4 linked regions of the Diceros bicornis minor genome follow. The protein of the gene in region 4 purifies or fractionates together with the protein of the main gene of each other region. This does not show direct contact. Links are inferred from orthologs where the notes say so. Each region holds a gene or a part of one and is shown on either strand. Other genes may lie near its edges.

Region 1 (6,907 bases), on a different chromosome or scaffold from region 4:
GAGCAAGAAACAGCAAGAGCGCAGGACACTTCCTAATAACGCAGTAGGACTCGGGTGACAGCAAATTCAAGAAAATCCAAATAAATCCGATCCCAAAAGATCCATTTTCACTGCTCTGCTATTTTCCTGCACTTGCTGAATAAAAAGTGTGCCTCGTCCATGATCAAAATAAGTTCAATTTAACCGGAATGTGTTGCTTGAACACAGCCTCTCTGTTGAAGGTGACTCCTTTCAAGCAGCCTGGGCCAAATAATGGATTTCCTGGCTCTTCTTAGGAACGAATAGCTATATTTTAGAATATTTTCCCTCCACATCGTCGTAAATGCGGGTCTCATTTTTGCTACCGAACCGTCAAACTCAAAGCCCCGCATCGAATGTCTCGGCATGGCTGGGCAGAACTACGGAAAACATCCTCGGAGGCCACAAAGCTAACCTATTTTGCCTGCCTCCACCTTGTAAGCTAAGAGGGAACGCAGTGGGGCCGGAGGGAGGACAAAGTTCCCCCTTCTTTTCCCAGTTCCAGCTTATTGTTGGCGCGAACCGGGAAGACCTGGTCAATATCTCCGTCCAGCCCGCACTGGCCGGGAGCGCCTGTTCGGTTACAAAAGCGTCGCGCCGTCCCCGACTCCCGCACGCGGGCCCCGCGCCTGGGCCGGGGTGGCGAGGCGCGGCTGCTCGGCCACCGGGAACCCCGGCGCCCGGCCCGGCCCGGCCCGGCCCGCGGCGAGACCCCCTCCCAGGCCCCGGGGTCCCCCGGCCGCGCGCCCGGACATCGTGCGCTCCCCGGCCTCCGAGGGAGGCAGCCGCGAGTTAAGATGGCTTTGGGCGCCTCGCCCCCGCCTCCCCCGGCAGAGGACGCGGAAAAAGTACGCGGAAAGAAAGAAACTAGGGCTCGCGGCGCGCGCCCAGGCCGCCGCGGCGGAAGCAGGCCCGGCCGGCGCGGGGGTTACCTGCGATCTGCCCATGGTCGGGCCGGGGGTGCCGGGGCTCATCGCCGGGTGGCTCCTTTGTTGCGCGGCCGCCCAGGCCGGGCTGGCAGCGGCGTACTGGGCGCCCATGTCCTTGCCCAAGCCCATGCCCGCGGCCGCCTGCTGGCCGCCCGCCGCCGCCCCCGCCGCCGCCGCCGCCGCCTGGGACTGGGGCTGCGACGGCGGCGGCGGCGGCGGCGCGCTGGGGCTGCTGTAGTCGGGGTAGCTGCCGCCGTAGCTCCTCATCATGGGGCTGGGCGAGGTGAGCAGCTGGTTGAGGGTCGGGGTGGCCCCCGACGGGTGCTGGTTCTGCCCGGCGAAGCGCTGGAAGCCCCCCGCCGCCGCTGCCGCCGCCGCGCCGGCGGCCGCCTTGCTGAGGCTCGCGGCCCCGCCGCCCCCGGGGCCCATCATCATGCCGCCGCCCTGCTGCCGGGGGGAGCTCAGCACCCCGTACCCCGAGGACGAGCCCCCATAGCCGCCGCCGCCGCCGCCGCCTCCCGCTGCTGCTGCTGCCGCCGCCGCGGCCGCCGCCGCCACAGCTCCCGCTCCTGCTGCTCCTCCTCCTCCTCCTCCTCCTCCTCCGCTGCCTCCTCCTCCTCCGCCGCCGCCGCCGCCGCCGCCCGCGCTGGGCCGGCTGTAGCCCGGATAATGGTTGTACTGGCTGTTGGGGTACCCTTCGTGGGAGTTCTGCAGGGGGTCCATGCTGTTGGGGGCCCCGGCGGCGGCTGAGGCGGAGTGCATCATCCCCATCCCGGGGCTTTGTTGTCCGCCATGTTGATCAAAGCAAGGCCCAGCGCGGCCGCCGGGGCCGCCGCTAGCAGGGGCAGCGCTGCCATAGTAATTGTTAAACTCCGGGACGGCCGCCGGGCCGCCGCCGCCGCCGCCGCCGCCCCCGGGCACGGCGACCGGCGGCTGCTGCGCGCCCAGGGCGCCCAGGCCCGGGTGCTCGTAGCGGCCGCCCGCCGGCTCCCCCATCTTGGGCGGCGCGTCGTCCTCGTCGCCCGGCTTGCTCAGCAGAGGCTGGCCCGGGGGGTCGGCCTGGCTGCCCGCGGCACTGTCCTTGGCGCCTCCATGTTGCGGCTGCTCCATGTCGGGACCGGGCTGAGCCGCGCCGCCGCCCGCGCCGCCGAGGCTGTTGTTGTTGGAAATGGGATGTTGCTGCTGCTGCTGCTGCTGTTGCTGTTGCTGCTGCTGCTGCTGCTGGAACTGGTTTAGCTGCTGCTGTAGTGCGTGGTGGTGGTGGTGGAGGTGGTGGGCATGGTGGTGGTGGTGGTGGGCATGGTGGTGGTGGTGGTGCTGTGCGGCGGGGGCTTCGCCAACGGTTTTCAGTTTGTGGTTGGGGAGCAGCCCCGTCTCCATGGCCGAGCCCGGGCCCGCCGAGGAGGAAGAGGACGCCGCCGCGGAGGAGGAGGAGGAGGAGGACAGCGCGGCGGCGCTTCCAGCCTCCTTGAGAGCCGCCTCGGAGCCGCCGCTCTTGGCGCTGTTGGTGCTGGCGGCGGCGGCCGGCGCGCTCGCGTTATGGGCCATGTTCAGTTCGTGACGGGGGTGCAGGGGGTGGTGGTGCACACTATTCAGGCCGCCGCCGTCGCCGCCGCCCCCCAGCATGGGGCCCGGTGCCGCCGCCGCCGCCGCCGCGCCGCGCGCCCCCGCCTCCAGGTCCCGGGCCCCGGGCGCCGGCCGCGGCCCGGGGGGCGCCCGCCGATCGCCGCTGCCCGCCCGCGCCCGCGCCGCCGCCGCCGCTGCTGCCCGCGCGGCCATGATCGCCGCGGCGTGGCCAGGCCGGGCGGGGGGCGGGGGGAGACAATAAAACCCACTTTTTAGGCGGCGGCCCCTCCTGTGCGCATCCACGCGCCCCGACGGGAAGCGAGCGCGCCCCCTCCCCCTCCGCAGGCCCCGCCGGAGCCGGATCGGGAGTCACGCCTTACGGTCTGGGCCCGTTCCCGCGGGGGGATTTCATGGTGAAAGTTTTGAGTTCAGGTTTAAATGCAACTTTTTTCCTCTCTGCCCCGGATCTGGGGAAATACACGCCCGCCGGAGCCTCCCGGGCCCAGCAAGGCAGGAGAGGGAGCCGAGCGAGCCGAGCAACTATTATCCACTTCTCTCTGATGACTCGGTGCACTCGCAAAACGCGGACTGGACTCGGCCCGGGCCGCCGCCGCCCGCCCCGGCGCAGGCTCGCGGGCACCGGCGGCCCCGGGTCGGGGGCTCGGGCCGGCCCGGCGGGCGCCCGGGGCGCGGCGGCGTGGGGCGCCGGGAGGCTGCACCTTCCCCTCGTGCCTGCGTCTCCTTGCCGACCCGGCGTTCGCGTGTTTGTTTTCACGTCGGAAAGGCACGATCCAGAGGTGGAAAACGAGTCTGACGAGCAGACAAAAGAGGGAGAAGGGCTGGGGAACAAAGTTGCCGGTCGGCCTCGAAGGTTCCGAAGAGCCGCCGGAGAAAGAAAATATTTGGGCGATCTGGGCAGAAGATCGCTGCCTCGCCCAGGAGTTATGTAATTTTTCAGAATGGGAGCCTCGCTGTCTTGATGGCGGGCCGTCCGCGTAATTCCCACAACTTCTTCAAACTGCAAAATTAAGGGAGAGTTTAAGGGAAGGTTAGCCGCCTTCAAGGCGCGCTGTGCCCTGTACACAGCAGGTACTCAATACATGCGTACGATTGCACCTGCCCCAAAAATAATGTTGATATAACTTTTTAAAGGCACTTTATGTGTGTGTAGGCTTATCAATGAAAACTCAAAGTATTCCCAAAGGAGCATACAATGCACATGTCTGTTCTCTGGCTAAAGGGAAGTCCTCAAGTATGCAGAGCGGTGTGTTATGCTCCCAAGCACTTGCACATGGAGATTGAACTCTTGGTGCCATAATAGCGACAGCTAAGGTTTATCTCATATCTTCATAAATCCGTATGACACCTTTCATCATATTTCAGAGGTTAATGCTCACAATTAACCCTCTTGATGTGAGTTCATATCTAAGCAATGTGAAACAAAACTAAAACAAATACATGCTATATTTAATAAACATAAGCTCAATAATATCAGTCAAATCTAATCCTAGAGCAGAAATGTTTCATACTTTGTTCTTTTCAAAAGACTATTGTTTTATCACATTATGATATTTTAAGTGTTTTTATTATTGGAGATTCATCACCTAGGAACATTTTGAATTATCTTTACTAGCAGGACTTCTTAACCTAAGCAATGGCTCAGTTGTACTAGTGTGGACTCAGTTTTCATCCAGAGAAAGGCTTTGAAACCAGAGCTTTCAAGAGGTCACTGTAGCTGAAATAATATGTATGATTTTGGTAGAATGTAGTTTTCTAAAATAATTTCATTCTTAAGCTTTTCAGGAAGGCTCTTTTAGTTGATTTCAACTGCAGTGGTTATTTTTGTTTGCTTGACCAAATGCAGGTATGTTACATGACTAAATAGAAAAGGATAGATGGGAAAAACTGGGGACTAACTGGGGGGAAGGAGAAATCAGGGGAATCACCCAGGAGTCATTATAGAGTGTAGAAACAACAAATTGAATTCTATGCAAACGACTGAGAAACGGGTTATAGCATCATGTGTAAGAGAGAATAACAGAACTGTAAGATGAATTCATGCCAAATCATTCATCAGTTTTTGCCAAGAGAATACTACATCTTTGTTAGTATACCTTTTTGACATTTTCTCCCTTTATATATTCAAACCCATACTAATTATATGCATTACAGCACATAAGTTGAATTTTTAAAGTTTTTCATATGCAAATATAAATACGTCTGTTTTGTGTATGTGTGTATATACATGTATTCTAAAACCAATTACATATTTGTGCTTTTAGACACTTATAGTCAAACTAAATATATACATACAATCATAAAAGTATATTTTTTCTCACTGATAAAATATATCAAAGTCAATTCATACAAGTGTAGCCATATTTGGTGGCTTATTTTCACAGCTAATCCTAAAAGGGAAAATGAGTCACCAAGTTCAGCTCTGGCCCGTTTCTTAAAAATATTTTTTCATGTGGATAAATCATGAAACTAAAAAAAAAAAAGTAAGGATATAAGTTGAAATCTCTTTTAATTCCATTTGCTTCTGCAAGTCAACTAGAAGATTGGAACCAAGAGGCTATGAAGTAGAGGCCCTCAGCACAATGAAATCAATCTGCTATAAAAGGCGACACATGCCAGCTTCTCCTCCCGGATGGCAGGTGCCACACCCTAAAACAGACAGAAGGCACTGCAGTCTGTAAGAAAAGCACAACACAAAGCCAGCAGGACTGGGTTTTGTCTTTTAAACCACAGAGAATGCTCAAATACCTTTTTTAAAGCATCTTGCTGAAGATAAGTAGTGGGATCTGATTTATTCAGCTTGTACTTTTCAAACACACCTTCTCAGGAAAACAAAATAAAAGCCTCTTAGAGTTCGCTTTGAAAATCCAGGACTTAATAAACAAAACGGCAGTCGGCCAGGGGTCTGTTTAGAAAGTGAGGAAATAGGTTCACATTTCACAAAAGCACAATTTGAACTATAGATGATCCTTTCTGTTGTGTCACTTGCCTTGATTATCCTATATGGCAATTCTACATTATTGTTTTTTGGATAATATAAGGTACTAGAAACCACCATGTTCATTTTTCCTAATGAATTCCTTATTTCTACACCTCTTGCCTAAATTTCAAACCATAATGACAACTTTAGTAAGTTACTCCAGCCACAAGGCAGCCTCGCAGGTGGAGGCCCAAAAGCTGCCGAGTGGCTGCACTAGGCTACAGCCAACTCCCACCCACGGGTTGCCCCACGCCCTCATGTTTAGCCAGAGGATTACCCATTATTTTGTTAAACATCCCTTTTTGGCTACAAAAGGGTTTTGGTGGGTTTTTTTAACTATATGAAAAATTAATATTCAAATACTGCTCCTTCTGAATAAGTTTTAGGGTGCTGAATAAAAGCCTCTTCAACTTGCCCACTTAAAGAGGATTGAGCCAGATGGTAGTTTAAGAATGCCACAGCTCTGTTCTTTTTGCCTCATCGTGGCCCATCATACTATTTGCTTTCAGATTAGCCCCCTTTTGACTGTTCTGGTTATTTATTCGATAACTGAAACTAGCACGATTCACTACCCATCATATTTCTCAGTATTCTTTCCGTAATTTGGAAGCAATTTAGAATAAAGCCCTGTCAAGGTTTTACAAATAAGAACTATTAAAGAATAAGGCTTTGGACACTTGCTTTCCTTTTAGATTTATGAGAAATGCAATGAATGGAGCTAATGGGATTTCCCTACTGATCTTGGTCAGAGACTTTAAAAAGCACTAAACAATTGTCCTTTTCACTTCTCCGATTTAGACGTTAGCAGTGAATAACTGAGTAAAAGCAAGATAGGGCATATAGCATTTGATTTGAAACAACAATGCAAATTAACAGTGGCCTGTAAGCTTAGGATGCAAAACAATTAGATAAGATTGAAAAAAATCTGGGCAAAAAATAATTTAAATATATTTGGGAACCCTGACCAATGTAGCACTATTATACTTACTAAGAGTATTATAGTGGGGATAATAAACCTGGATGAGGATAAACTACACTTATTCATTCAACAGATTTATCTAGAATCTACTTTGTGACATGCCCTGAGAATAAAAAAGATAAATATTAGCTTGGTCTTGTCCTCAATAGGAGAGAGAAATAATTATCCTAAAACACACTCAGGGCTGCCCTGAAATGTCACGGAGGACTTGGCCAGTAAAGAAACAAGCTCTGGGGCTGGCCAGGTGGCGTAGCAGTTAAGTTCGAGCTCCGCTTTGGTGGCCTGAGTTTGCAGGTTCGGATCCCGGACATGGACATAGGCACCGCTTATCAAGCCATGCTGTGGCAGCGTCCTATATAACGCAGAGGAAGATGGGCATGCATGTTAGCGCAGGGCCAATCTTCCTCAGCAAAAAAA
Region 2 (7,125 bases), on a different chromosome or scaffold from region 4:
GCAGGGAGCCGCGTCTCCCCCACCCCAAGCCCCCCGGCCAGTGACCCTGATGCCGCCGGCGTGAGCGAGGGGTGGGAGGGGCAGGAGCGCCGGAACCGCGCAGCTTTGGCGGAGGGGGCTTTGCGTCTGGCTGCAGAAAGCTAACTGAAGCCAGGCAACTGCACAGGGCATTGCCAGCCTCGGATTTGAGGAAGGTACCATGAAAATGAATATTTAACGGCGCCTTTTCAACCTTTTCAAAGAATGTGCACATTCACATGCTCCTCTGCAAGACAGACTGAGTGGGTCCTTCCATCTCCACTTGACAGATGAGGCAACTGTGGCTCAAGGAGAAAAGCGACCTAGCCAAGGTCACACCGCTCCTCCTGGCAAAAGCAGCCACTGAGCAGTCGTTTCCCGAGGGGCCAAGGGTTTTTGCCCTCCGCTGCTTCCTCTAGGTTAGGGGCTGAGGTCCCTGTTGCGACTCCTGCCGCCCCTCTTCCCATTCCCTGCTTCCCAGTCCACTTCCTGGACTGTCCTGCCTTGCACTCACCCTTCCCATCTTAACCTACTCTTCTCCCTGGGCCCCAGCTTTTGCCCTCTTAGTCCCAACCCCCACCCCCTTTGGCTGATTCCAAGTCTCCATACCTAGATGCTTTGCTGACTTAGCCCACTCCCATAATTTGCTCCCAAGGTAAAGGCTGGAGGCAGGGCTGGCAGCAACCTGAGTGAGCTGAGGCCAGACCCTGCCAGGATTCTCTGATTGGGAGGGCAAGGGACAGCTGGGCTGGGGGTGGGCTGCCCAGAGGGCTTGTGTAGGTCAAAGGCAGCAGCATTTTCTCTTATATCCATCTCTCTCTTCCTGTCTGCCTGGATCACCAGAGATGGTCCCATCCTACAGACTTTCTCTACTTCCCACCCCCACCCCAGGCAGGGCCCAAAGGGGGCCATGGAGAGGGAGACAAGCAGGTGTAGTCCCTAGCCACTGGGATGCAAGTTCATTGAGTGAAGTGTTCCATAGCCTTCTTAAACCTTACTTGTCCAGATTCCAGAAGAGGGATTGGGGAAGGACAGAGGGCTATAAAGTGGAGGGTGGGTGAGATGGGGACTGGGACAGGAGAGCAGGAAGGAGATTAGGGAGCAAAGGATGCAGACCCTGTAACCCTGTTATCATTTAAACACCACCCACTGCACCCCCAGAAGTGCAGCTGCCCCCAGGCACAAGGAGGAGCCTGAGCTTGGTGAATCCCTTCTAACTGCCAACTCTCCCTCCTGTCCCTCCTGCCCTGCACTATGTCTAACCCTAACCAATGCCCCCCCCCACGCCCCCCGCCAGCCAGCTGTCTCTGCCCATCTCTCCCACAGTGAAACCTGCCTGCCCACGTGTTGGCCTCCCCCACCCCACCTGACCTTGTCACTCACACTCCAGAATGGAGCCCAGGCACTGCCACTCCCTACGAGCACATATGGGGCACGGGGAGTGGGGCAGTGGGGCTCACAGCCACCCAAGAACTGAAGCTCTAAGTTGGCCAAATAAAAAAATCCATGTGCATAGCCGCTCTCCCTCCTAGATGGGCCTTTTTAAAGGGACTTCCCCAAGCAGCAAGGTTAGGACTGGAAACTTGGCTGACCGACACAGGCACCCCTGGGAAGTTACCCCAGAGATCCCCGGGGCTGGAGGACAGGCCGCCCCAGGGAAGCCCCTTTTCCCTACCAGATGCTCTCCCACTTATCAAGGACAGCGATACTCACTGATCTGCACAAGAGGCCCTGAGAGGGAGGCTCCCAGAGCCCCCAGAGAGCTGTGCCAGCCACCAATGAAGGGCCAAGATTCTAGGGACTCTGGCCTCCCTCACTGAGAACATGCCTTCCTTGGGGTCACAACCAAATTTGGCCATAGTAAACCTGACTGCTTCCTCTATACCCGGCTCCAACCCCAGCACCCATCCCAAGTCCCGAAGCCCCTGCCTCTCCCATTCCACTGCCCCCCACATCCCTGCCAACCTGGCCCCTGTTGCCTCAGCTTGAAGCTCCCATCCCCGCAGGTTGTCCTGGGCTCCCTCGGCTCCCTGCATGCCTTCCAAGTCTGCTCATGGCAGGACGTGCTGCCCTGCCCCTTTGGTCTCTAGGCCTTGTGTACCTGACTCCAGCCCTTCCTTCACACCTTTGAGGCATTAAGGACATCAGCTTCTGGTGGCGGAGTCTGCCAAGGGGATCCTCAGATCCCTTAACTTGGGGTCTGTCCCTAGAGAAGGCCTCTCTCTGACCCTGATGGCAGAGTCCATCAGTGAAGCCCCAGAGCCCTCCTGCCAGGATGCAGAGGTTGTTCAGCCAGAAAGCTTCCCGCTCACAGTGCCTCCAGGGTCACCTGCTCCTTGCTCCCAAGACACCATCAGAGAGACACTGTCCCAATGGATGAACAGACAGCCCAGCCCAGCCGATGCCATGTCCCCCACCCCCACCCTAGGGCAAGGGTAACACCTGGGCCCACAAGGAAAAGAACGGAAGACAACATGTCTGGTACCGAGGGGACCCCCACTTGAGGGGGCAGTCCCCAAGTCCCACCCCCATCCCCTGACAAGAACCCATGCAAACGCCTCCCTTCCCCGCCCGGACACCCATCCCTGGCCGGCCGCCTGACGACGTGTTCGGGTGCCAGGGCGCCAGCACGGTGGTGGCGCTGGGCCGCGGGCCCTGGCGCCCCCAGCTAGAGGGGTGGGAGAGCGGGACCCCCCTGCTGGTCCCTCCCGATCATCCCTCCATTCAGCCCGAGCCAGCTCCTCACCCTCCCCCGCTAACTTTCCCCCACTCACCACCCCATGGACCAGAAACTCAAAAAGTTTGCTTTTCGTGGCTTTGCGCGCCCCTCCGGCAACTTCGTCCGCGGCCATCGGGGTGGGCTCAGCGGCTCCTCTCACTCTCTCTCTCTCTTCCTCTTTCTTTCCCTTTTCTGCCTTTTTTTTTCCTCCAACTCTCCCCTCTGAGTCCTGCTGGGCTCTCTCACACTTCTACTCGAGCGGAGTGGGGAGGGGGCCCCTTCAGGGCTGCCCTGACGGCCCACGGCCCACGCCGCCGCCGCCCGCCCGCCGCCGCCGCCGCCGCCGCCGCCGCCGCCGCCGCCGCCGCCGCGGCTGCCGCATTCCTGCACTGATAAGACAGAAATAGTCCGGCGGCCCGGGGTCTGCCTGTTGACTCGGCGGGGACAGAAAAGCCTGCCTTTCCAACCCTCGCTGTCCAAACAGCGCAGATAAGCAGCGAGGCACGCCGGCAAGCCCGGCTCCTGGGCGCTGGGCAGCGCCACTGCAGCCCGAGGCTGCCCGAGGGCCGCGGGGAGGGGACGCGAGGGGAGGTGGCGAGGGGCTCGCCGGCCACCCGGGCTCTCGCCACAAATAGTTTCTCGGTTAGAGAATTCGCCGGCAGGGCCAGGCAGGGAACAGTCAGTTCCAACTTTCCCCCCAAGTGGCTCCTGCTGCATTTCTGAGGCCCTTTCCCCAGAGACCTGGCAGGCCAAGTAGGGAAACATTCTCTGGAAGGAATCCGGGGGGAGCCGGAGCCCAGAGGAGGCCTTCCTCCTGCACCAGGCCGGCAGTGGTGGGTGTGCCCAGCGAGGCGGTGTCCCCCTGCGTCCACAGATGTGTGCGCCCTTGTCTCGCCCGCCGTGTGTGTCTGCACCCTTGTGTGGGCACGGCGCGGTGGCTGTGGGTGTGGATGTTTATGTGCGTGCACAGACAAATGCCTTCTCTGTGTGCCTCCCTCCACGAGAGCCTCTAGTGCGTGCGCGCGCGTGCGGGTGCGTGTGTGGCAGGACATGGCCTGTGTCTTCCAGCGCCGTGTGAGTCTATTTCTGGGTATGTGTCTTTGTTTGTCTCTATGTGAGAAAGTGAGGGCAATAGGGGAAGTATTTCAGAAAGAGGGAGGTGGATTGGGCTGGCAAGAGCAGGAAGAGAAACATGGGGGAGGCAAGGAGCTGGGGTGGGTGCCTGGGTGGATGGGTGGAGGAAGTGAGGCAAGCAGGCCCTGATGGCTTTGGAATGGGCTGGTGGTGGGAGACCAGGGGAGCTGGGCCGGCTGGGTATGGTAGGGCCAGCCTCAAAACCCCAAAGAAAGCAGGGTTATGGGGTTATGAGGGAGCCCCAGAAGGGGCAATGCAGAGGAAGCTGGCAGTCCCTGGGGTACAGGAGGGACAGGAAACAGGAGGAGCAAATCCTGAGATCCCCAGGCTGGGAGCCCTGGCCCCGCCCATGCCTCCAAAGGCCACACCCCTCTCTCCTCCTGGAGGAGAGGCCCATGGCTTTGGGACAACAGTGGGTCAACTTTATGGGCCTCCTGGGGCTGCACTGTCAGAATCTAGGTGAGGATGGGGCGATGCCTGGGGGAATGTGTTGGAAAACTTATTTGAAGTTAAACCCTGCAGACCCAGCATTACACTGGGGAGTCCTGACCCTCAATGTTTCAGAATGCCTTCAGAGGTTGGGACAAAGAACCAAGGGAGTGTTCTGCTCCAGGATCCTTCTTTGCCTGCGGCCTGACTCCCTTGGGCCCTGGTTGTGCACCTGGCTGTCATTGTCCGTTTAGGTGCCCACTGTCAATCCCCTGAAAGGCCAGAGAGGACGTGTGTCCAGGACACCCCTCCTCTACGGCCGGCTTAGCAGGGGACCTAGAGATTCCATTCCTATTAAATCTCTACCCAGGCTTCCCCCTAGAGCCACACATACCGAGACTGGGCCCTGGTGGGGTGGGGATGGGTGGGCAGTTGCCATAGGCCATGAAGGTGGCTACTGGTAACCTGGAGAGGTAATCTCTCTAGTTTGTCCACTAACCTCTAAAACCTGTCACTCATTCCCATTTCTAAGCCTCTGCTCCAGCTATTCTTTTGCCTGGAATCCCTCTACTGCTCCTCTGCCTGTCCAGATCACATTCATCCTTTAAAGCCCATGTCTCGCCCCACCTCCCCCAGGAAGCCTTCCTGGTCCCACTCCTATGCACAGGTCTTTCTCTTCTCCAAATGCCCATTGCCATCCACCCTGCACCATGAATTGGCACTTGACTGACTAATGTCTGATGTGCCCTGTGGTTCACGTATATTAGATTTGGTTTCCCAAATAGGCTGCAGCTCCCTTAAGTCAGAGACCGGTCTTTAAGTCCCACTCTCCCCTCATGCCTGGACACAGGGACTTGACATGACCAAATGCCTGCTAACGCTTGCAACCACCCAAAGCTCAGTGGGCCAGTGGACCGAGCTCATGCTCTGACACTTACCTGGACGTGTGAGTCACCATGGGCACCCCACCCCCCATGGGTGCTTCTAGCATGAACACATGAACCCACAGGTCTTGGAGGTTCTGGGGGACTGGGCAGGGGCAGTCACCTCTAGGCTTTGTGTAAAGCTCAGAGTTCTCAACTCTTGGAGAGGCCTTTTGGGAAAAGAAGACAGCAGAGGAGGTGGATGGGCACCCCAGACTGGGCAGCTGAAAAGTTTGAGGGAAGGGCACGAAGGGCAGTGGGAACACCCAGCATTTGTGAGGGGCTGGTCTTGGTGGTGGAGGAGATTGCAGGAGGTGGTTAGACCAAAGGCTCTGGTGGTACCTGAGGAGGAGCCCACAAGTCATTCAAATCTATAGATAACCCCCTCCAGGGCCACCCCAAGACCAGGGCCTCCCCCTGCAGCCCCCTTTCTGGGAGACATTCTTATGTGTGCACAGACAACAGATATATAGTGCATACACGCCCCAAGGCACACACCAATGCAAACGCCAAAGGGACAAGGAGCCACGTAGATTTTCACACACAGGCACACCCTGATCACCTCCACATCCCACTTGCAAGGCCCAATTCACAAGGCACCCGCCAGCAGACAGGTTTGCATGCTGCTTTTACGGGGGCAACCCTAAGTGTAAGGACACAGGAGACCCTTCAGACTAGAAAGCAGAGGCGCCAGTGTGGATGTCCCAACCAGGACTCCCACCTCACACAGGCCAGGAACCCCGAAGTCTCAGCCCCAGAAGGGCGCTCAGCAGTGCCATGCCGCTGGCTCCTGCCGGTGGGAAGGAGGCCCAGGGAAAGCCCGATTCCAGCAGGCAAGGGGCTGTCCTCCAGGCCGGACCGGGCCCTTAGCCGCGGCCAACTGGCCCAGGTCGAGCTCCGGGCAGGCCGTGCGCGTGTCCGGGCACAGGGCGGCCGCCCGGAGGCCCGGAGCCGGAGTCCCCCCTGCCGTCCCCCCATCTCTTCTTCCCTCGCCGAAGCACCACCAGCACCAAATGGCAAAGCGCCTCTCCCCGCGCAGGGAGAGATGCGCCGCGGCCAGCGGGATGGGCTCGGCGCCCCCTCCCCCCACCATCACCGCGCCCGAGCGCTGGGGGCACGTCCCGGCCCGCGGCCGCCCGCCCTCACCCTCGCCCGCGGGGGCCCGGGACAGCGGCGGGAGCCGGCCCGGAGCCGGCCCAGGCATGCGCACTGCGGCCTCCCTCCCGGTGAAGGTCAGCCCAGGGCCTAGCTGCAGGACTCAGAGGCGGCGGGGAGAGGCAGAGGAGGGAGGAGGGATGCAGCGAAGAGACTTAACTCCTTCCCTGCGGGAAGACGGCCACCGAGGCTGGGGCCGGAGCCCGGAGTCCCACCCTCCCCGCCTTCTGTGGAGGTCCCATTACGGGGACCGGCTCAGGGGGAGGGGGGAGGAGGGGGAGGGAGAATGGAAGAAGGCGGCTAGGAGGAGAGGAGGGAAGCTGGAAGGGGAGAGGGAGGAAGGCAAGGGAGGAACAAAGGAAACCAGACTGAAGGGAGAGACCTCTTCCCGCTGCCCCTTTTCCCTACACCCTACACCCCTAGCAATAAAGCCTTCCTTAGCAGAAAGACATCGCGTGTGAGTGTGTGTGTATGTGAGAGAGAGAGGGAGAGAGGGGGAGAGAGAGAGAGAGAGAGAGCGAGAGAGCGAGCGAGCGAGCGAGCGAGCGAGCGAGCAAGTGAGGCCACCTGGAGCTCTCAGGCTGCGGACCCAGTGATTTCTATGTTCTGGCGCATCCCTAAACCCAGCCCCCACCTTCTCCTTTGGTCACTAAACCCCAGGGCATGCCAGGGGCCCCAGAGGCAGCTCTGACCCAGCCTACCTGCCTGGCCTAAGTCCCAGGCCCCCAGGGAACCCTGGCTAGACCA
Region 3 (7,270 bases), on a different chromosome or scaffold from region 4:
TGCCTCTCATGTCTTCATCTGCGAAATGGGGATAATATCACATATCTCACAGGGTCAAATGGATTAAATGGCATATATAGAGGTCTCTGCACAAACACTGGCATCTGATTTAAAGAAGAAATAAAAGCAAGCTGCTATTATAATTACTACTACTCTATTAAACAATTGCCATGTACACACTCATGTTACTCCTAGACTAATTTAAAAATGAACCAAACAAAACCTCCCTTCCATGCTCTTTATGTGACTGCAAGAGCTGTAGCTTCACTTCACATCCTACCTCCCCCTACAAAAAAAACCCAAAACAAAGCAAAAGGGAAAACCAAAAGCATATCAGCCTTCTCAGCTTGGAAAATAACATAAAGATTCTAAATACTTAGTAATCTTGTTCATTAACATGATGGTTAATAAAAGAAGACCTGCTAAATTCTCTATTGCAGATATTTTTCATATATATCTCTCATCCTTCCATTCAACAAAGTTTTTTTTTTTTTTTTTTTAAACAACATACAACATGCCAGGCATCTGGCTAATTGCTCAGGTTTCAGAGATGAATTGAACTTGCTCTGCACCCTCCAGGCACTAGCCATCTAGTGGAGGATACCAAAGAAATAATCGCATCAAAGTGATAAGTGCTGTAACGGAGGTACACACAGGTTGCTATGGGAGCAGAGTAGGACAAGTGGCTTCCTTTGCCTGGGGAGGGTAAGGAGGGCCACTGGAAGGCTGCTGGGCCAGAGTTGAGTCTTGGAGGATGTGGATTGGGAACCCACATTTCAGTCTGCGGGAAGTATATCCAACATGGCCCCTTAGGAACCAGAAGGTGGACCAGGTTTCCAGAACTCAGGCAATTGCATGAGGTCAACAAGGCTGGCAGACATCTGAACATACACAGGCTTGGATGGCATGCTAAGAAGTCTGAAATTTATCAGATAATGGATCGGGAATAGACAAAGACTCTTAGGATAGAGAGTGATATGACCACAAACAGAATTGGGGTGGTACTTTGGAGGGATGATTGTGGAGAAACAGAATCTATTGAGACTGTGGTTTGGAAAAAAGGAGAGAGAGGAGTGTTTATTTCTGTAATAAATTTAGTTGCTAATTCTAAACTCTCCACTAAATTAAATGTCGGCTGATTCACTTTGTCAAAGTTTTGTTTCCATTACTGTAGATGAAGTACTCATTTCCTAAATAGTCTTACTTGCTCCTATTTGAAGCCAGGCAACATTTCACCCGGCATGAACAGTTTGCCTGGTGGGAGTAGAAGCTTCCTAACTTTGTGCATGGAGTTTTTCTTTATGGGGGTGTTGTAACAAGATACCAGTTTTCAAACCCAATATCTACTCTATTCAGAACATGATCCAAAGCAGACTTATATAACAAGTGAATGTGGCCATACAGACACGAAAAAGTGACTTCTATCCCTTGATGCCAAACTAGAAAGAGAAAAGCAAGTTCAGAGAATACATTATGACTCATCAAAGTCCAAAAGGAAAAGCTTCATGTGAATCTAGCATCCCGTGCAGCCTCCTGGAGTCCTTTTAGCCTCCAACCATATTTGCTTTTGTGTGATTTTCTGCAAAACAAAAGAACCCCATCATTTTCCTCCTTAACATCACTTGTTAAATTTAGCTTTATCTCAGAGATGAAGCTCATGCAATATGTTCTACAAACTTCTTTTCTTACTGAGTAAATGGTGCTGCCTTTTCATTTCTCCTGAGCATAGGCCTTATTTTATAAAACTTCTACTTGCTGAAGTGCAAGCTACAGAAAAGAGGATTCTTCAGAGGACAGACCTGAAGGAAGAAGGTAGTGCTTTCTTAGACCAATGTGAAAGGAAAAGGAGATGCAATATCTATATTTAATCTCTGTTCCTAGCAATAGATTTTATTTTTCAATTCCCAAAGTTGTGCATATAATGCATGGATACCAATCCTTCCAAGTACTGCATCAAAATTTTATATGAGCTGAAGAATATACACATGTAACAAAGGGAGTGTTTTCTTCTTTATTTTCCCTCTGACAAAATGCCAGAAAGAATAGCCAGCCTCTTCCTCCAGTGTCTTACTAAGATGATTGCTCTCTTTTTGAAATTTGGCATGGCAGATGAACGTGGAATCGTAAAGGAATAAAGGGCACTCATTCACAAGGAAATAAAGGTGAAGTCATCAATTTACGAAAATCGGCATGGGAGTTTGGCATGCCACGGAAACAAATTTGGCCTGAAAAAATTAAAACCTAATATTACCTAATGTAATAAGCATTGCCATTAGGTTAAAGCCCTTTTATAGGCAACTAGGTTATCTGGCTATATTAATAGTTGCATTTTATTAGGCAGTTAGAAGTTATATTTTTACTACATTGCTAATTTTGTTTAAAATTTCTTGCCGTATATTTCCCAGCTAATAGTTACACTGGCATATCCTCAGGCAGAAAAACAAGTTCTTACAACAGATTCTTCAGGGCATGCTATATTCTATTTCTCTGAGATGGGTTATCTTTTGTTGTTTTGAGGTTCACTTTGGAATAGAGAGAAAATTATGAAGCTAAAGTTGACAAGCAAGGAACAAGGCCTGAGAAACCTACAGGGTGGGTGACCATTGACACCCCTGGCCACCCAATGGTGCCCTTGCAGATTCTACTTCTGCCAGCAGTGGACCAGCAACGTAAACAATTCCAGCCACTTAATGACCACATGAGGGCTTTGGTGTTCCTTCCATTGCTTCTTGTCTTCAACGTATCCAGTGCATAGTTTTAAGCATCCTAGAACTGCATTTCAGACTCAACTGCTCAAATAGAGTTAATTTTGCAACAGTAAAATAGTCTTAAAGTAGGATTTTACTCTAGGGGGAAAAATCCTCAACTAAATAGTCACAGTGCACTTTGAATGACTAATTTAAACCAGTACATTACAAAATAAGGGATAAATCATACTTTTCATAACACTACCATACAGGAACAGTTTTAATTTTAAGAATCCAGCACCTACATTAATCTGAGTCTAAAATAATAGGCCCCTGATTTAAAATCTCCTAACATTCTTTCACACTTCATAAAGCTAAAAATAAAATTGTCTCAGCAAACACTGACCTATCGTCCGGCCAAAGTGCTGTATTTCACGGAAAATTGAAACAAGAGGTCTCAAAACCGCAAAACACCAGCAGTTTACCGTCGGTAGCCTTAATTGGTCTTAACTGTGGGGTGGGAGAGAAGAGACTATGGTGTGTAGAGAATAAGAGATTTATTCCCCTTCTTAAATCAAATGCAGATGCCATGCTTCCACTGCCCCCTAACCCGCCCGCCCCGCCCCCAAGGGGTTGTTTTTCCATATTTTTGTATATATTTTACGTGAAGATGACAGGTAAGGGAAGGTTCAAGGGCTGTGTCTGGTCCACAAGTAAACAGAGGGGTTAGGGCAGGCTTCTTTATTTATAAGGCGTTCAGCCTCTCAGCTGTTTTTCCCTCGTTGGCATTTGGAAGCTTGCAATCCTTTAGAAAAGAGACAGATTTGGCAGGAATGTTCTTTGTGCCGGCCTTCCTTTTTACGGGGGAGAGTGGGGGCAGATTTATAATTACTGCCTTGGGCGGGGGACGGACGGGGGAGAAAAAGTTTCAGCCGGCACGACAATGCCTGTTTTTTTTCATGGTCAACACTGTGTCACAAACAGCTTTGGTGCCACTCAGAGCCCTTCCCTTGTCCCCTCCCTTTCCCTCTGCAGGCTGGCTCTGGCAGGCGGAGGCACAGTTAAATTCCAGCACCTTCTCCACATACCCCCAAACTACTACGCGCTATTACTACGGCTGCCCTCCCTTTCGCTTTGCCTGCTCTGCTTCCCCAGACTCCCCGGAGGAGCTCGGCAGCGCCCCTGGAAGAGTACTGCCAGGAGAGGGATAACCGGCGCCCAACTCCATCAGGGCTTGGGGCTGCCTGCGTCCTGCGCAGTTTCTCTGCTCCAGGCACAAACACGGCCCGAGAGCCGGCGCCTTGCAGACACACACGGATCCACGCATACAGTAGAGCTGTCTCGAGCCACATTCTTGCACACCGCCCCCTCCTCCCCCCGAGCTCCCGGAGTCGCTGAGCGGGGCGAGTGACAGGCGCGTCCCGCCAACCCGCGCCCGGGCGGGCAGGGAGGAGCGGCGCGTGGGGCCAACTGCGGTGCGTCTTCCGGCGCCCGTGGAGGCGGCGAGGGTGGGACGCGGGGCGGAGCCCGAGTTTAGGAAGAGGAGGGGATGGCTGTCATCAATGAAGTCATATTCATAATCTAGTCCTCTCTCCCTCTGTTTCTGTACTCTGGGTGACTCAGAGAGGGAAGAGATTCAGCCAGCACACTCCTCGCGAGCAAGGTAAATATAACTTACAACTCCTTTTTCCTCTTTCCCCTCCCTCCGGTCTCCCCGCTGCCGCCGCCGCACAAACCCCTCCGGGACCGCGCCGCCTTTGCTGGGGATTATTCATTATTATCCTAATTATTATTTATTGTGCATGCACGGAGACCAAAACAAACAGGCGGGCCAACCGCCACCACAAAAAAGCCCGCCTCCTCCCCGCGGGCCTCAGGTGGAATGCTCTAACGACAGCTCCAGGGCGGCGGTGGGAGAAACGGGAAAGTTTCAACCGAACCTTGCTGTTCTAATAATAACAGTAATAATTACTACTTCAAGGAGGCGAGGGGGAAAAATCCCAACAAACCACAGCCTTGACCCTGGGTAGCCAGTCGGCGATGCGCTGCCAACTCAAGGTTGCAACACACACACCTTCGGCAAGGTTGCAATCCCCCCATCCCCTTAAAAGCCGGGGGTGGGGGACTGAGGCGGAGGGGGAAGGCAGGAGGACAGGGGAGGAGGATGGAAACGCGACAATTCATCCCAAGCAGTCCTCCCGGAAGAGTTGGAAGGGGAGCGGGAGAGGAGGGCGAGAAGCCCAGGCTGGCGGCGAGGCGCCAACGAACGCGGCTGCCACCCGCTTCCCGGGGACTTGTTTAAAGGGCTCCGGCTGCGGAGAAGCGAGCGGATCGCGGCGGGAGAAGCCTGAGCTGGCGCGCCGAGGAGGCGGCAGCCACTGCCGCGGGGCCGGTGCGTGCCGGATCGGAGGTGTCACCTCCACTTTGCGCTTTCCCTCGGGCGGGGATGGGGACGCTGACCGGTAGGGAGGCCTTTAGGCGAAGGGGCTGCAGGGGTGCTGCACCCGGGGCTCTGCGGACGTCCCTGCCCCTGGTACCTGGCGGCCGCGCGGGCTCGGATGTTGAAGTTCTGGGTGTCCGGCCCGGGCCGCACTGCTAGGAGGGAGGAAGGAGGCTACGAAGAAGGAGGTCGGGGTGCCCGCCGGGCTCAGTTACCCTGCCCTCCCCGTCCCCGGGTTTGTTTTGCTTTGCGTCTTCCCCTAGCTTGAGCCGCGGGAACCGCGGGCGTGGGTCGTCCGCGATCGTCCGGGAGCTAGGGGCTCGCTGGGGCCCGGGAGAGCCGCCGTGGCTGCGGGCCGGGGAGGCCATGATCCGGATAATCCTCTCTGCCTGACTGTCACAAACAGGACCCGCGCGCACCCGGGCAGCGGCGGTGGTGTTCGCCGGAGAAGGGAAGGGCTGCGGGGGGGTGGGGGAGAGGAGTGGGGGGTGGGTGGCGAGGGCGGGAGGCGGGGAGACCGGGTGGGAGCCTCCTCCCAACGATGACACGCACCCCTTCCTTTTCGCTCCCTGCTTTCGAGTTTGCTTTATTCCCATCCCAACCTGGTTTACCCCTTCCTCTGCTCTCTCCCTCCATTGGCCGTCTTTCCTCCTCCCGTTTGCGTTGCAAAACACGGCCATGCCATCTGCAAAGGTGTCGCGATGCACTTCCCCAAATAATCGGTCCTGCGCGCCAACCCCTAGGCGTCCTCCGGCCGCGGGGCGCACACCGATCCTGGTGCCCCGGGTGCCCCGCACCAGGCCTTGCAGCCTGGGGGCAGTTGCACCGCGCGGGGCGGGGCGCAGCAGTGCGGGCTCCAGGGGACACCCGCGCCCTGGTCCGGGCACTGGGGCCGGTTTCCGGTACACGCGGGGAAATCGCCTCCTGCCAGTGTCTGCGCGCTCGCTCCCGCCTCCGCCGCCTGGATTGCATTATTATTTTTATCCGGGTTGCCGCTTGCAGCAGATCCTGGTGAGCGCGGGGCTGGCCGGACTGGGGGGTGGGGTGGAGGGAAGTTGGACGTGGATCAGGCAGGAAAAAAAAAGTTTGGCAAGGCTGCTAAGTAGGGTGGGGGGGGTTGGGAGGGGGCGGCGGGCTCCCGCGGCTCGCGTCTACGCGCCCTCGGGGCCGGCGCGAGTGTGTCTGCGCGTGAGTGTGAGTGTGTGTTGTGCGCGCCGGGGCCAGTGCGTCGGGAGCAGCGGCGCCGGCAGCCGCTCCTGCCCGCGCCCTCCCCGGGAGCCGGGGGAGCACAAGGCGAGGTTTGGCGGCGGGGGCAGGCGGGGGTGGCGTGTGCGTGTGGCTGTGAGTGTGAGTGTGAGTGTGCGCGCGCGAGCGGCAGAGAATCAGGAAGTCACAGCAGCGAAGCGCACACAGACATGTTTGATCGCCGTGACATGACGCGCGCGAGGGAGGAAGCGGCAGCGGCGGCGGGGGCCGGGCCGCGGGCTCGGGCGCGGGCCTAGGGCTCGGGCGGGGAGACCCGCTCTGGGTCGCGGGCCGCGCCGCCACTGCAGGCTCGGCCAGCCCCGCGCCTCTTTTTGTTCGGCGTCCCCCAGGTAAGCAGCCTGCGCCGCCGCCCCCCGCTGTGTGCGGAGCTTTCCAGCTCTCCCTGCCGGCCCCCTCCGGTCTGCCGGCTCGCCTTTCCTGCAAAGTCAGGCAGGCGGGGGAAACGGGCTCCTTGTCTTCCGATCGATTGCGTGGAAAACTTTCCAGCGGGAGGCACCGTGAGAGGGAAAAAGAAGGCCTTGCTGGCTGCTGTCGCTTGTCAGTTCTTTCTCCTCCGGGTCCGGAGAGTGGAGTCGCTGCGCCTTGGGGTTGTTGCACATTCAAACTTCGGGCCTAAACGTGCCTCCAACTCTCGCAGGATTTACTCCAGCAATAAAATTAATATTCCAAGTCGTCCACTTGGTCTTGCCAGGCGTTCGGATTTTTTAAGAGAAGGAGACAGGCTTGGGAGTCGAGGGAAATGGGGGTGTTGTGCAGAATCCATTCCTTCTTTCATGTCTGCACCGGGTGTTATGTAATTTAGTAGCACATGGGTGCAAAGCCCATACTGGGCTTCTCCCTTCCTTTGTTTATATAACTTTTGGGAGAGTTTTGCAAG
Region 4 (7,581 bases):
GAAGGTGTCTGGAACATCTTGACTTGGGAGTAAAGCGACCTGGCTTGGCTGCAAGTCACCACATAAACATGGACATTTAGTCAATCCATGTGGACCTCAGGTTCCTCTGCTACAGACTGGGGAGGTTAGACTAGATAAGCTCTGGCATATTCTATAAAAGGGAGGGTCCTAGCATGGGAAGCTGCACAGAGTAAGCCTCCATTGCTTACATCCATAACTCGAGCTACACCAACAAACCCTGCTCTGGAATCCGAGGGGGGGCTTTCACTGAGCAGCCACAAGAGACCACTTAGGCACAGCTTAGCATGTCCCAGCAACTGAAAAGGACACATACCACACACAAGGTGGTGACACCACAAGACATGCTGGCTGGAGTCAATGAGCTGTAATGACTGTAATCTGAGGTAGGCATGAATCTTGTGTTGCAGAGTGGAGAGAAGGGAACAGGCTCACAGTTGCTCGCCTTTAGGAGGCAGCCATGTCCTCAGCACACAGAGGAAAACTGGATAAACAAGGCTGAGTGCAGCAGCTCCTTTGTTTCTGCTGATGGGAATTGATACTGACACTGGAAATCAAATGGAAGGAAGGACCAGACGGCCTGAGAGCTGCAAAATCAGAGCAAGGAGGCTGGAAACAGTTTGTGGGGAATGGATGACAGATGTTCTATCCAAGTTCTTATGAGTTAAGTGGGATTTCAGAAGGTGGGGCAAACTGTCTTGTGAGTAAGAGAGCTGGGAATGAAACACTTAAGTTGGCGGAAGAGGATCTGATGAGGAGAGGGTAAGACAGTGTGAGAGAGCTCTTAAAAACTTAAGGCTCCTATCGTAAGAAATTTCAAGCTAACATTATCCTCTAGATCTTGCTACCTAACTCAGAAGGTTTCAAGACCAGTCAGCAGCCCCAGGTATTTTATACTATTATTTTACCCTAATAAGACCCTTTAAAGACTGCTTCAATTCTGACACCACATTTGAGAGGGACAGAGAATTTACAAATAGGAAAATTCTTCTCCCAGAATAAGATGCAAGTCAGAAAAGATGAGCTAGTAGTCCTGACCTCAACGTATAATCTCAGCTGTCAGAAAACAAAGCATACCATGATCAAGAGAAAGCCAGAAAAGCGTCTCTTTCCAAGGTGAGAATGGTACAGAAAGAATGGAAGCCACTTCTTAAAGGGAAAATTCTGTAGGAGAATGTATTTAATTGAGGTCCACAGCCCTCTGCAGCTAGGACTGAGGAGGAGAAAGTTGGTTTCTCATTACCGGTGCAGTACTCAGGAACCAGTGGCTAGTGACCCTCATAATCTCTACACCTCTTCAAAAAGAAATAAGAAGTCATGCTTTCTTTAAATGGGGAACCCCTCACTGCTAAAACTACAAGAAAGAGTTGGCAACTCTATTTCCCTGAAGAAAGTCTTCCAACAGAAAGAATCTCATTACATATAACTCTCAAAACCTAGGCAAGTCTGACGTTCCCCCAGTAAAGTAAGATTTCCAAGGTTAAAGCTTTGATTCTTTTTCGAGAAGCAAGAAACCCATGTAAAACCTCCCCTTATAACGGGATGGGGGGAGTCGACAAAAAGAAAGGCAGGGAAACAAAGAAAGAACATCTGAGTCAGGAAGGATAACTATATAAACGGTAGATCAACAGCGTCATTTCTAAATTGAGGGAAATGTCAGCCTGAAGAGAGAGCTGGGGAAACTAGAGTGGGCAGATCAGAGAGAAAGATAATAGTGTTGGGAGGAGGGGGATGAAAGAGGCAGCAGCATGGAGCTGAAAGCAGGAGGAAAAAAAACCACAAGAGGAGAAGGAGAAGGCACTTAGCTTAATGGAAGTGGGAAAGCATTCTCAAAGAAAAGGCTCCAGGCAGGAGGAGGGGAGGAGGCAATGTACTCTTAAAAAAGGCTCCTGGGAAGAGTGGGGCTCAGTCTAACACGAAGGCAGATGAAAAGCGGTGAGACCCTTAGAAGAATTCCCAAACCTTTACCTTGTCATCCGGTCAAAATCCAGAAGCCCCGACTGGACAACTAGCCACCTCTCAATTTTCCTACCCCAACACTAAGCCCAATTAACCCATGAAAAGGCGCTTGCTCTATTCGCCCATGGGGCATGAACCCATTTCAGAACTCATTCAGATTCTCCTTCGGGGAGGGGGCTGGGTGAAATCAGGTCCCAAAGCGTCTTTAACTCACAGCTCACAACCATTCTCCATTTTCCCAACCACCACCAACTTGGCTCGCGATCTGCCCAGCCCAAGGGGACTGCACAGCGCGAGGCCGGCCGACCCAGCTGCTCCCCCAGGCTGCAGGGGCGCCCTGGACGCTTCCGTCCCGGTCCCGTGTTTGGATGGCTGGGAGGGGAAGGCGCAAAGGTCCGCTCCCCTGAAGTTCTTTCCCTTCTGTCTCTGCTCCTCAATTCCTCCCAAGAATATTTTTGGTCCTGGGTACCAAGACCCCCGGCCCCCCCAACGTCACGGGGCTGTTTAAACAAAACACCCCGCAGGGCTTCACGGCGCCTGGGGCTCCAGGGCCGGCTGCGGGAGGCCGACGGGGAGGGGTCGGTCCCGGGCCGCCCTCGGCCCGGCTACTCGGACTTCGGCGTCTCGGGAGCGACATCGGGACCGCGCGTCTCCCATACGCAGCAAGGGTGCCATACTCCGGACACCGCGAGCCCGCCCCGCCCCGCACGGCGCAGGGGGCTGCCCGCCAGGGGCTCCCGTGTGCCCCCCTCAGGGCCTCCACAAGTTTCCAAAGAAGCGCAACGTCTTCTCCGGAGTCTCCTGTTGCCCTCCCCGCTAGGAGTCGCAACGCGGCCTTTCCGGTCACGTCCCTCTCTCCGCCTCGTCCTTTCCCGCACCGCCCCCTACTCCCAAGCCCCTCACCAGACCTCCCGGCCGAGAAGAGAAAAGAAACGACCACTCACAGCTTCACTACATTTTCCACCACAGCCGCCATCTTCCCTGCTCCTCTCCCTCAGGCCGGGAGGCCCGGAGCCCGCAGCGCGCAGGCGCCGGGACCCCTCCGGGGAACCAGTTTCCTTGTCTTTCTGCGCAGGCGCCGCCTGGGGGCGCGCGCGCGCCCCAGAACGAGCAACGGAGAACGAGCTTAGGGGCTGTTCGCGGGGGCCAGAGAGCCGAGGAGCCCGGTGCGCAGGCGCGGCGGACACGGGTGCGCGCCCCGAGGCTCCGGCTCGAGCCCCACCTCTTACATTTGGAGGAGCGGGAGGAGGGAGCAAGGCTGTGGCCTGGTCCAGAAATGAGAGGGCGAGAGGTTGGTGAAAACTGGCAGGCCGAGATGGGCTACGTGGAGCGCATGCGTGCGTCTTGGTACCTGGCCCACCCTTAACCTCCTGGTTAACCTTTTGCCCTTACTCACAGGCGGGAGTTGGCAGGTAGCGAAGGTCAGAGGGGTGCACAGTCCACTTGGGCCCCCAAACATATGTCCGTTTTAGGGAGAGGAAAATTAACCCCCAGAACTGGGCAGTTCTTTGCCCTAGATATTGGGGTCTGACAAAAGTTACCTCACCTTCCTACCACCAAACCCAGCCACCATCTTCTCTGGTACCTACCTCTTCTCCCTTGTTTCCTACTCCTCTCTAAGCTCCTTCCCTCCACTTATGTTCTGAAGACATTCCCTCCTTCAATTATCCCTCTCTCTCCTGTACCATTCATTTCTCCTTCACTATTGAATCATGCAAATTCATGTAGAAACATGGCTTAATATCCTCCTTAAAAAAAATCAGAGCCCTTCCTTTAGCCAATGTCTGCCTTCAATTATCACCCCATTTCTTTTCACTCTTTTAAAGCAAATATTCTGTTTATACTCCCTATCTCTGTTGACTTATTTCCAAGTCTCTTTCTGCCCAGGTTTAATGGGAATTTTGTTTCCACCAGTTCACTTGAAACAACTAACAAAGTCACCACCACCTCTGCTTCAAAAGATTTAGAGATTTCTTCTGTGTCCTCGTTGGCCTATCAAGCCCCGTGACACCATTCACCCTTCCCTCCTTTTCCAAACTCCACTCCAGGTCTGTGAGACACACACTATCCCAGCTGTCCTCCTGTCACGCTGGCAGTGCCTTCGGCTTCTTTTGCTGGCTCTCCATCCTCTGTTCCACCTATAACTTTCAGAGTCCCCAAGGCTTTGTCCTTTGTCCGTGTCATATACCTTATTTCATAAATTCCACAATGCACATATTCCTTCCTCTCCCCCCATTTTAATATTTCAGAATCAGGACACGTCTTACCATCACTGTGCCTTATAATCTTGTTTGGCAGATGGGAGTTGTGAGGTATTTGTCACTGCCTACCCTGCACCAAACTTGCAGAGTGGGTGTCGGTGGCTTGGAAGAAAAACCCAGAGACAACACTGGTACACTCTTCTACCCCTGGGAACCAAATGATTGTAGGGACAAAGGGTATCAGAGGTGACTCCCAAGCAGGAGTCAAAAGTCTGCGTTATAGCCTGAATGTTTGTGTAACCCCAAACTCATATGTTGAAGCCCTATCCCCCAATGTGATAGTATTTGGAGGTGGGGCCTTTGGGAAGTAATTCAGTTTAGATGAGGTTGTGAGGGTGGGACCCTCGCGATGGGATTAGTGCCCTAATAAGAAGAGGAAGACAGGTATCTCTCTCTCTCCACGAGGAAGGGCCATGTGGGGACACAGCAAGAAGGCAGATGTCTACAAGCCAGGAAGAGGACCCTTACTAGGAGCCCAATCTGCTGGCACCTTGATCTTGGACTTCCCAGCCTCCAGAACTGTGAGAAATAAATGTCTGTTGTTTAAGGCACCGAGTCTATGGTCTTTTGTGATAGCAGCCCAAGCCAACTAAGACAGTACGCTGGCACTAAAGCTGAAATACACCTATGCGGTGACCCAGCAATTCCCTTCGTGGATATATACACCAAAAAGCATGTACAAGAATGTTCACAACAGCATTAATTATAATAGCCCCAAACTGGGAACAACCCAAATGCCCACAACAGTAGAATGGATTAAACGACAATGAAAGGAACAAACTATTGCTACACAACAACATGAATGAATCTCAAAAACTTAATGTTGAATAAAAGAAGCCAGTTGTAAGAAGAGGACATATATTGTATGATTCCATTTCTATAAAGTTACATAAACACACACACTGGTCTATGGGGGTGGAAGTCAGGAGAGTGGTTACCTTTGGAGGATAGTGACAATGAAGGGGCATGAGGTGGCTACTGAGGTGCTGGTAATGTTCCTTTTCTTCATCTGGGTAGTGGTTCCACAGGTTTGTTCACTTTGTAAACGTTGAACTACACAAGATTTGTGTACTTCTCTGTATGTATATTTCAATAAAAATATGAGTAATAATAAGTAGGCTAGTTATATATAATTGGAAAGTCAGATTATGAGCCCAACCTCAGTGGCTTTCAGTTCTTTCAGGATTCTTTTAAGAAGTGCTACATCACTGAACAATAGATACTCCGCATGCTCTGAACCAGTGACCAGTATATATAGTGTTTCTCTTGCAGACGAGAACCAAGGAGTGGAAGTAGGGTCCAGCCTCTTGAAATCTCAACTAACGATTCTGCAAAATGTTTGTTTCCTGCTCCTGCAGCTCTGGGCTCTGGCTGATCTAGAGCCTTTAGGACCCAGGAGAGGAATGCTTCCACCAGGGGGCACAGTAATGATTCTTCTAAAACAGGAGCTGAGACTGCCAATGGGCCATTTTGCGTTCCACATGCCACAAGGCAAGAAAGTGAAAAGGGGATACCACTGTTGGTTGGGCTTATTCTAATCGTCAAGGGTAAATAGGATTGCTATTCCTCAGTGGGGGCAGGGGGAAATAGAAATGAAACCCGGGGAATCTTCTTAATGTTACGTTCAGGTAGTTAATGGGAGACAGGTTCCTGGTTAGGTATTTAATTCCAACCTTCCCACTAAAGACAAACTGAAAAACAGAAAGTGAAAAAAAATCTTAGGGGCCGGCCCGGTGGCATAGCGGTTAAGTGTGCGCATTCCGCTTTGGCAGCCCGGGGTTCACGGGTTCGGATCCCAGGCGCCCACCAACGCATCACTTATCAAGCCATGCTGTGGCAGCGTCCCATATAAAGTAGAGGAAGGTAGGCACAGATGTTAGCCCAGGGCCAATCTTCCTCAGCAAAAAGAGGAGGATTGGCATGTGATACTGGCTTAGGGCTAATCTTCCTCATACACACACACACACAAATCTTAAAAGTATTGAAAAGTTAATGATAAAGTGAAGAATTACTGGACCAACATTTAGAGGCTAAAACCCAGAAAGATAAGCCCAGAATTCAAAGCAAATTTTGTCCTGGGGGCATTTACTGATCTGGAAGATATAACTGTGAAATTGAGCTGTTATTTGGCAGTCTTTGGGGAGAGAGGGTAAAAAATTAAAACCTAGAGCCTGACCAGGGTAGGAAGTCAGATACCCCACCACAGACATATACACACTTTAAGAGGGACATGTAGCCCAGAATCATGTTATCTGGGTGGTCCAGGGAAGCTCGAGCCTTGAACTTGGATTAAAGTAGACCCATCTTTATAATGTCCCTAGTAAGCCGGCAGACGCAAGCATATTTGGTACCAAGCAACATCCTTTGTGAAGGAATGTACTGTCATCCTAGGCCTCAAATTATTTCTAACAATATTTTTTCAGATACACTATCCAGCCCATAATCAAAGATAATTAGGCACACAAAGAAACGAGAAACTTTGTGTAAGAATGGATACAAACAATAGAAAACCAAATTGACCCACAAAGATTTAAGATATTGGAATTATCTGATACCGACTATATAATAACACCGCTTACTATGTTTAAAGAAGTAAAAGATGAGCATAAAAATATCTGCAGGGAACAAATACCTAGTAAGAAGTGCCACAACAGAATTTTTAAAGAACCGCATAGAACTTCTGGAACTGAAAAATACAATAACCAAAATTAAGAACACAATGAATTGGTTAAAAAGTAGATGAGTCATGGCTGAAGAGAGAACAAGTGAACTACAAGGCAGAAATTGTCCTTAATACAGCATGGTAAAACAAAAGAACAGAAAATACCCAATTAGAGTAGAAACACAGCAGATATATAGAGAGATCTAACATATGTTTAATTGGAGTCTCAGAGGGTGAGGAGAGAGAAAGGGGCAGAGGCAATATTTAAGGAGAAAATGACTGATACTTTTCCCCAAATGATGAGAGATGCTAATTTAGAGGTTGAAGAAGCCCAAGCTTTATGGAAATAAAAGCTAAAGTATTTGGTATGACATTTCATGATATCTGCAACTTACTTTCAGAAGGTCAGGGAAAAAGTTTTTATATGTAAAGAGATAAAGCAAATGAGGCAAAATGGTAATAATTGACAAATCTGGATGAAGGTATATGGATGTACATTGTACTATTCTTTCAACATTTCTGTAAATTTGAAGTGTTTCAAAATAAAGAGTTTGCAGAAGAAGTCAATTCTATACAGGGAAATCCACCAAGGGCTCAGATTTTTTAAAAAAGAAGATCTGGGATATGTCACCTGGTAAAGAACCCTGAACAGTCAAGAGGCAGGCTGAAGGCAAAGGGAAC

Evidence for each region.
Region 1: the proteins of DPF2 (region 4) and ARID1B purify together in Homo sapiens (affinity purification with mass spectrometry; 7 studies listed by BioGRID and IntAct, counting the BioPlex papers as one, with this or other methods). This does not show direct contact. The link is inferred for Diceros bicornis minor from reciprocal best matches to the Homo sapiens genes DPF2 and ARID1B.
Region 2: the proteins of DPF2 (region 4) and SMARCD3 purify together in Homo sapiens (affinity purification with mass spectrometry; 3 studies listed by BioGRID and IntAct, counting the BioPlex papers as one, with this or other methods). This does not show direct contact. The link is inferred for Diceros bicornis minor from reciprocal best matches to the Homo sapiens genes DPF2 and SMARCD3.
Region 3: the proteins of DPF2 (region 4) and SMARCA2 purify together in Homo sapiens (affinity purification with mass spectrometry; 6 studies listed by BioGRID and IntAct, counting the BioPlex papers as one, with this or other methods). This does not show direct contact. The link is inferred for Diceros bicornis minor from reciprocal best matches to the Homo sapiens genes DPF2 and SMARCA2.

The regions. Positions count from the first base shown.
Region 1 is NC_080778.1:12,667,695-12,674,601, forward strand, and holds the start of ARID1B (AT-rich interactive domain-containing protein 1B), read right to left. Parts: upstream 3,021-6,907; 5' UTR 2,727-3,020; coding exon 951-2,726; intron 1-950. UniProt on the Homo sapiens protein: Involved in transcriptional activation and repression of select genes by chromatin remodeling (alteration of DNA-nucleosome topology).
Region 2 is NC_080742.1:96,904,032-96,911,156, forward strand, and holds the start of SMARCD3 (SWI/SNF-related matrix-associated actin-dependent regulator of chromatin subfamily D member 3), read right to left. Parts: upstream 3,004-7,125; 5' UTR 2,871-3,003; coding exon 2,793-2,870; intron 1-2,792. UniProt on the Homo sapiens protein: Involved in transcriptional activation and repression of select genes by chromatin remodeling (alteration of DNA-nucleosome topology).
Region 3 is NC_080761.1:26,386,260-26,393,529, forward strand, and holds the start of SMARCA2 (probable global transcription activator SNF2L2), read left to right. Parts: upstream 1-4,250; 5' UTR 4,251-4,350; intron 4,351-4,912; exon of another isoform or gene 4,913-5,079; intron 5,080-6,037; exon of another isoform or gene 6,038-6,138; intron 6,139-7,270. UniProt on the Homo sapiens protein: ATPase involved in transcriptional activation and repression of select genes by chromatin remodeling (alteration of DNA-nucleosome topology).
Region 4 is NC_080770.1:7,847,535-7,855,115, forward strand, and holds the start of DPF2 (zinc finger protein ubi-d4), read right to left. Parts: upstream 3,014-7,581; 5' UTR 2,954-3,013; coding exon 2,922-2,953; intron 1-2,921. UniProt on the Homo sapiens protein: Plays an active role in transcriptional regulation by binding modified histones H3 and H4. Is a negative regulator of myeloid differentiation of hematopoietic progenitor cells. Might also have a role in the development and maturation of lymphoid cells.